2 linked regions of the Sus scrofa genome follow. The protein of the gene in region 1 interacts with the protein of each later gene in a pairwise test. Links are inferred from orthologs where the notes say so. Each region holds a gene or a part of one and is shown on either strand. Other genes may lie near its edges. The genes, in order: ALDH16A1 and DERA.

Region 1 (3,816 bases):
CTGGATCCCAGCGGCATCTGCAGTCTATGCCACAGCTTGCGGCAATGCCGGATCCTTAACCCACTGAGTGAAGCCAGGGATCCAACATGCATCCTCAAGTTCTTACCTTGCTGAGCCGCAGTGGGAAGTCTAAATTTTAAAATTTTTAATTTATTATTTATTTCTTTTGGCTGCACCCGTGGCATGCAGCAGTTGTCAGGCCAGGGATCAAACATGCACTACAACAGTGACCTGAGCCATAGCAGTGACAACACTGGATCCATAACCTGCTAGGACACCAGGGAACTCCCAAGGAAGAGATTTATTTATTTATTTGTTTATTGTCTTTTTGCCATTTCTAGGGCCACACCCGCGGTATATGGAGGTTCCCAGGCTAGGGGTCTAATCGGAGATGTAGCTGCCGGCCTACACCACAGCCACAGCAACGTGGGATCCAAGCCGAGTCTGTGACCTACAGCACAGCTCGTGGCAACGCCGGATCCTTAACCCATTGAGCGAGGCCAGGGATCCAACCCGCCACCTCATGGTTCCTAGTCGGATTCGTTAACCAATGAGCCATGACGGGAACTCCCCCAAGGGGGAGAGTTAATAGACGGTGACTTGAAAAAGCGCCCACAGGGATTTGGAGCCATACTGAGGGTGACTGTTATCAGGAGGAGCCAGACACTTTGCGGTACAACAGGAATGATTAGGATGCTGTAATCAATTATACTTCAATAAAACATTAAAAAATGAAAAACAAAAGAGGAGCCAGAAATCTCAGCCTTCTCCCACCAGTTACCCCCTGCCCTAAGGGGGCAAAGAGAATGGGGTGCTGTTGGTGGCTACGTCTGGGGCCCCTGACCCCTCTCCCTCCCAAGCCTGGAGCACATGGCATACCTGTGATGGGATCCTGGCAAGGCACTGAACTCCGGTGTTCTGGCTTTAACCATTTTCCGTTAACATAGTGACCCAAGAGCCGGTCCTGGGTGTCCAGCCAGGCCTGGGGGAGGCAGAGACAGTTTGGAAAGGGGTCTGAGAGGCAGCTGGGGGAGCTCAATTCCTACCCAGAGTCCTCTGGGAGGGGGATACCTGCTCCCTTTGCTACATCAGGTATTTACCTGTGTAGGAGGAAAATACACATAGACATAAAAAAATGCATAACATTCACCAATTCAAAATGTACAATCCAGGGCATTTAGTACATTCACTTCTTTTATCTTTCGCATTTTAGGGCTGCACCCCCAGCATATGGAAGGTTCTCAGGCTAGGGGTTGAACAGGTGCTGCAGCTGCCGGCCTCCACCACAGCCACAGCAACACCAGAAGCTGCGTCTACGACCTACACAACAGCTCACAGCAATGCCCGATCCTTAACCCACTGAGCGAGGCCAGGGATCAAACCCAAGTCCTCATGGACACTCGTCAGGTTCATAACCCACAGAGCCACAGTAGGAACTCCTAGTATATTCGCAGTGTTAATCAACCATCTCCACTATCTCATTCTAGAACTTTTCCATCACCCCAAGAGAAAACTCAGTACCCATTAAGCACTCTCCCTCTTACTGTGACCTCAAGCCCTGGCAACAAGTCATCTACTTTGTATATCTACGGATTTGCCTATTCTGGAATTTCACATAAATGGAATCCGACAAATATGTGACTTTGTGTGCCCGCTTTGAGGTTCATCCACATGGCAGCATGGATCAGAACTTCCTCTCTCTCCCTCTCTTTTTTTTTTGGTTGGGCCCATGGCATGCGGAAGTTCCCTAGTTGGGGATCAAACCTGCACCACAGCAGTGACAAAGCTAGATCCTTAACTGCTAGGCCACCAGGGCACTCCCATGAACTTCATTTCTCTTTATGGATGGATGCTATTCCCTTGTCGGCAGAGACCACATTCTATCCATCCACTCACCAGCGGATGGACATTGGGGTCATTTCCGCCTTGGGCTTTTGTGAATGAGGCTGCTATGAACATCTGAGCACAAGTCTTTGTGTGAATACCTGTGTTTCTTTATTTGGGGCCTGTATACCTCAGAGCGGTGCTCCTGGGTCACAGAGCAATGCCCTGAGTAGCTTACGGAAGGCCCACCAAACTGGTCTCAGCCGCAGCTGCACCATTTCACATTCCCACCAGAAATGCACAAGGGTGGTCCTGTTGACTTTTATACAGGAGAATGTAAACAAAGGATTAATAAAACCTTTTCTTCCCCATAGACAAATGATCTTCTTGAACAGAAATGACTTTCTTCTTTTTTTTTTTTTTTTCTTTTTTGGGCTGCACTGGCAGCATATGGGGGTTCCCAGACGAGGGGTCAAATCAGAGCTGCAGCTGTTAGCCTACGCCACAGCCACAGCCACTGGGATCCGAGCGGCGCCTGCAACCTACACCACAGCTCACGGCAATGCCAGATCCTTAACCCACTGAGCGAGGCCAGGGATCGAACCTGCAACCTCATCATTCCTAGTCAGATTCGTTTCCGCTGCGCCATGATGGGAACAACCCCCCCCCCTTTTTTGGCCACACCTGCAGCATGCACAAGCCCCTGTGCTCATGTTTGTATATCCCCAACTCTTTCAAAAACGTAGGAGTTCCCATGTGGCTCAGTGGGTTAAGGACCTGGTAGTGTCACTGAGGTGGCTCAGGTCACTGCTGTGGTGTGGGGTCAATCCCACATTGCTGCAGCTGTGGCGTAGGGTGGCTGAGAAAGGAAAATATATAAATAAAACTCAGGAAAAAAAAAAGAGTGCTTGTTAATGTGAAAATGGCCTTGTGGTTATGTTACAAAGTGAGTCTTTATCAGTCAGAAATGAAGACTCAAATATTTATGGGAAAATAACGTGACATCTGGGTTTTAACTCATTCCAGAAAAAAAGAGGCCAAAGAGACACGACATTGGATGAAGTGTTGACACTCGTTGGCACTGAGTGATGGGTAAACGGGAGTTCCTAATTTATGTACTCTGTGGATGTTTGCAAAATTTTCCCCCAAAAGAAAAACAAAACCACCAAAAGAATGTTCCACAGGGTCCTGGCAGGCCACACTGGTGTGAGAAGAGGGCCTGGTGGGGAAAAGGAACTCACGCACTGCCCAAAGAGCCAGTTAGCTATTGGGTCCAGATGATTTTTGTCAGGGAATGTGAGGCAAAGGTTGCCAAACTTGGGAATTTTATTTTCAAGAGAAGCTGGAATCCCGGATGTTTACATGGAATCCATTATCTACCAGTTCACATCAAAAAAAAAAAAATCGGTTTCAGGCCAAGAAAACACATCTGTTGTTGAGTCTGGCCCACAGACTGTAAGATTGAGCTTGGGGGAAAGCAGGGGGTGGTGTGCGCTCTGCAATCCCAGGGCTTAGGTTCAAATCCCAGTTTCACCTTTTTTAAAGCTATGTCCACGACAGTTGTCCAATTACTTAACTCTTCAAACCTCTGTGAGCTCAAGGCAATAATCCCCTTTCATAGCTGTTTTGGGGATTAAATGAGATCATGCTAAGCACAGAGGTTGGCACATAGAAAGCACCCAATAAATATAAACTGTTATCACACTACTGCTGTTTCAGGATTTCATCTCTAACCAGCCTCCGAGTATGGGAACTCTCTGTACTCCATCCCATATCCTCTTAGCTGAGTCTACACTATATTTCCAGATCATCTCATTGTCCTATTTTTTTTTTTTTTTCCCATTTTTGGCCACCCTGCAGCATATGGAGCTCCCAGGCTGGGGATCAGTTCCGAGCCACCACTGCAACCTAAGCAGCAGCTGTGACAATGCCAGATCCTTAACCCACCATGCAGGGCTGGGGATCTAACCCATGTCCCAGAGCTCCCAAGAC
Region 2 (4,429 bases), on another chromosome or scaffold:
GTGCCAATGGTATTTTCTAAAATTTTTACAACATGAATTCCTTCACAATAAGAAAGGGAGTAGGAGTTCCTGTCATGGCTCAGCAGTAATGTACCCGACTAGTATCCATGAAGACTCAGGTTCGATCCTTGGCCTCACTCAGTGGGTTAAGGATCTGGCGTTGCTGTGAGCTATGGTGTAGGTGGCAGACATGGCTTAGATCTGGCCTTGCCTTGGCTGTGATGTAGGCCAAGAGCTACAGCTCTGATTCTACCCCTAGCCTGGGAACCTCCATATGCTGTGGGTGCAGCCCTAAAAAGATTAAAAAAAAAAAAGGAAGGGAAGAGAAATTCATTTCCAAGGGGGGGAAGAGAATAAATTAAGAGTTCGGGATTAAAATATACACACTACTATATATAAAACAGATCATCAACAAGGACCTACTGTAGAGCACAGGGAAACCTACTTAATATCTTATAATAACTTATAATGGAAGAGAATGTAAATATATTTATATATTTATATATGTGTATAAATGAATCAATTTTTTTTTTTTTTTTTTTTTGGTATTTTGTCTTTTCTAGGGCCACACCCGCAGCGTATGTTGGTTCCCAGGCTAGGGGTCTCATCGGAGCTGTAGCTGCTGGCCTATGCCAGAGCCACAGCAACTCAGGATACGAGCTGTGTCTGCGACCTACACCACAGCTCACAGCAACGCCGGATCCTTAACCCACTGAGCAAGGCCAGGGATCGAAGCCACAACCTCATGATTCCTAGTCAGATTCGTTAACCACTGAGCCACTACGGGAACTCCTGAATCACTTTAAATCACTTTACTATATACCTGAAACTAACACAACATTGTAAATCAATTATATTTCAATAAAACATTTAAAAAACATTTTTTAAAGTTAACAGTATTTATTTTAAAAGTCTTGTAATTAGAAAACTCTGTTAAAGGTATCAACTGATATACTGCATAAATGAATAATGATTTCTTCCTTAGTACATAAATATTTCAAATAACTTATACCAGCATTTTTAGCTAAACCTCTGTCTGGATTAATGATTAATACCAGTGAAAGAAAAACACTGTTGGGAGTTCCCATTGTGGCTCAGCAGAAACGAATCCGACTAGTATCCATGAGGATGAGGGTTCGATCCCTGGCCTTGCTCAGTGGGTTGGGGAGCAAGGTGTTGCTGTGAGCTACAGCAGGTTGCAGTAGGCTCGGATTCCGAGTTGCTGCGGCTGTGGTACAGGCCAGCAGCTGTAGCTCCGATTCGATCCCTAGCCTGGGAACTTCCATATACCGTGGGTGTGGCCCTAAAAAGCAACAACAACAAAAAACCCACTCTTGAAATACATCTGATTTCATTTAAACAAAGAAGATAAAACAAAAATATGACCATTTAAATAGCTGTATAAAAATTACATTTACTATTATTTTATATAGCAACTGGCTTTTGTCTATACTATTACTTTTCAACAAATGAATGGATGTGATTCTAATTCTTGCAAATTAAAAAAGTAAAAATGTTATATGCCAATTAAATCTCAGTAAGAAAAAGAAGGCAAAAGGTTTAATTGTATTTCTTGAAAGAAAAACAAACTTCTAAGTGTGGGGGAAGTAACAGTGCATCACATGGTGTACAAAGTCACACTGCCATACCCTGAAGATACCAAGATGACTAAGACCCATAGCCCATCTCTCTGCCCCATCCATCCTCTTTCTGGATCTTCCAATCTAGGGAACTCCTTTATTACTAAAGTCCACATTCCAAAATTAGAACTAGAGTTTAAAATATAATCTCACTGCTAAAGGGCAGTGAGTAAAGGAGAATCAATTTGGTGAGGAAATCGCCTACCTTTATAAAAACAAGCGTTTATCATTCAACAAAGTTCTGGACCATCTCATGAAGTCTAGACTATTTAATTAGTACAGTCACTTTTAAAGAAGAAAGAAAAAAGTACCTTTACATGTTACATGTTATAGCTAATTTTCTCCAAATTGGTCCCTAAAAACAGAACTCTCCTTATAATAGTATTCTATATTTACTTAATACAATGTAAGTACCTGGTAAGTATATAATGTACTCACTATATTAGCAAGTATATAATAGTTTACTAGGTACTCACTCCAAACCACTTTATGAGGTAAGTGCTACTATTATGACCATTTATAAATAAAGAAATTTAAGCATAGATTGATTAAGTTATATCCCAAAGTCACACAGCTAAACTAAAGGTCCAAGATACAGACATGCAAACTCTAATACTTAAACTGAGATCCTTAACCTTTGGCTATGTCATGGTTTTGCTATGTTTGAATTACAAATTTTTCATTTTTTGAGGAAATCAGAACTAATTTTCTTGCCAGAAATATTTGATATCAATGAAATGAAAAAATGGTGAAATAATCCAAGCACTTCTACAAATCTTTGTACCTCTAAAATCACACACAATTTATGCTGTTAATATAGCCTAGACACCTGAGAACTTTTCCAACAGCACATCCACTCTGATACAGCTGTGATAACAATTAACTATAGAAACAGAGCATTAAATCGCACTATTAGGAGTGTGGAAGGGAGGCTTTCATTTGGTTTGTCTGGGGATCTTGGGGATTTGCGCTTTCTTGTTTTGTTTTGTTGTTTGCAACCACGGAGCTAGAAGATGAACTGAGTTGGAACAAGTAAGTCCAAACCTTTCCTATTCCTTAAGCAAAGAAATTTAAACTTTAGAAGCCAAGGCTTAAGGAGGTCCACGTGCCCAAGGGCTGTTTCCCAAATGCCGCCTGTGTCTAGCATCCCAGCGAGCCCCCGAGGCCCCCGTCCAGGGCACCTGACGGCTCAAGGCGGGAGGAGGCAGGGGACAGGGAGCGACGAAGAGGAGAGGGGGCGACCGCGGGCCCTTACCGAGCTCCGTGCCCCGCTGGTGCGCCGACATGGCTGGGCTGTCGCACCACAGCGAACTACCAGGCGCCCGCCAGCCTCAGCGTAGCCTTCCACCTTCCTCCTTCCGCCCGCCCCGCGGCGACTGCGCGCGCGTGCGTCTCGCCCCGCCCCCCGCGCGCCCCGCCAGGGCCACCTCTTCCCGCCTGGCCGCGCGCCCCGCCCTCTCCCCTCGGGGGCGGAGCCAGGGCCCTGGCAGCTCCCTGGGCACATTAGTTATCCCAGGCCCTTTGCTTGGCGAAGGAATACCGCCGCCCTTTTCCTCGTTCTCTCTCGTTAATGAGGAACCCCAGCAATAACTCCTGCAAATAATGCTGCCAGAACTCATGGTCAAATACTTGCCGAATGCATTGAGTAAAAACATTTGGAAACTTTTTGCCGTGGGATTACAGAACAAGAGGGAAGAGGATCCCCACGTGAAGGGGCAGAGGTGATCCCTGACCCTTGTAAGGGCGGCCACCTGGCAAACTGGGGCCCGATCCCTGCGACTTCTAATTTGGGCTTCCTGAAGAGAAGCGGCTCTGTGGCCTGGAAAACTAGGAAGCCCAGGAGTGAGAAGACCTGGGGTCTCAGCCTTGCTCTGACAGCGATTAAGTGTGACACTGGGCCTTCAGCTGCCTTTCAAAGCTTCATTTTCCTCATCTGTAAGAAAGCACCTTGACAACATCTTGGAGTTCTAAAATCCCGATTTTATGGAGTTCCCGTTGTGGCTCAGCGGTAACGAAGCGGACTGGTATCCATGAGGACGTGGATTCAATCTCTGACTTCACTCAGTGGGTTAAGGATCTGGTGCTGTGGTCGCAAGCGGCTTTGTCCAGGGTGTAGGACAGCAGCAGCAGCTCTGATTGGACCCCTAACCTGGGAACTTCCATAGGCCACAACCAAGATAAAAAATAAATAAATAAAATCCTGATTTTGTGATATTAGGAAATTTTTCAATCTGACTTTTTGACCAGGAGGTTAAGTTGTCTGAAGTCACTCAACACAGGCTACTAATCAACTCTGCACTCACAATCAGAAGCTGCTCCACTCTGCTGAAAGAAGGAAAACCCTTAGTTATGACTTGTTTAGGATGAGCCAGTTACTATGCCAGGTACTTTCAGAGAGATTGTAGCATGACAGTGTCAGAACGAACCTACCAAGTATGTATTATATCTGCATTGTTCTACCTACAGACAACCCATGTTCTAAATAGAGGCATTCCAGTGTAGTGGAAACTGGGCAGATTCCTAATGGGTCCAAATGCTTAATACATGAGCAGTTGCACTCAATTTCTAGTTGGTTCTAGGAATGTTACTGCCTGTAAAATGGGACTGATCAAAATAGATTTGATTGCAAAGTTGTATGTGTGTAAAGCATCTAGTACAATACACATCATGGCACATAGTAGGTGCTCAACAAATTAAAGCTATTATGTTATTGTCGGCTTCACACAGCAATTACTGGCTCCATAGGAAAAGCAATCCCAGTCTTATTCCCCTACACAGAGCTGCCTCTC

What was found.
Region 2: the proteins of ALDH16A1 (region 1) and DERA interact in binary tests that used the Homo sapiens proteins (3 or more experiments, as listed by UniProt). The link is inferred for Sus scrofa from reciprocal best matches to the Homo sapiens genes ALDH16A1 and DERA.

The regions. Positions count from the first base shown.
Region 1 is NC_010448.4:54,532,316-54,536,131, reverse strand, and holds part of ALDH16A1 (aldehyde dehydrogenase family 16 member A1), read right to left. Parts: intron 983-3,816; coding exon 880-982; intron 1-879.
Region 2 is NC_010447.5:56,703,445-56,707,873, forward strand, and holds the start of DERA (deoxyribose-phosphate aldolase), read right to left. Parts: upstream 3,036-4,429; 5' UTR 2,927-3,035; coding exon 2,896-2,926; intron 1-2,895. UniProt on the Homo sapiens protein: Catalyzes a reversible aldol reaction between acetaldehyde and D-glyceraldehyde 3-phosphate to generate 2-deoxy-D-ribose 5-phosphate. Participates in stress granule (SG) assembly.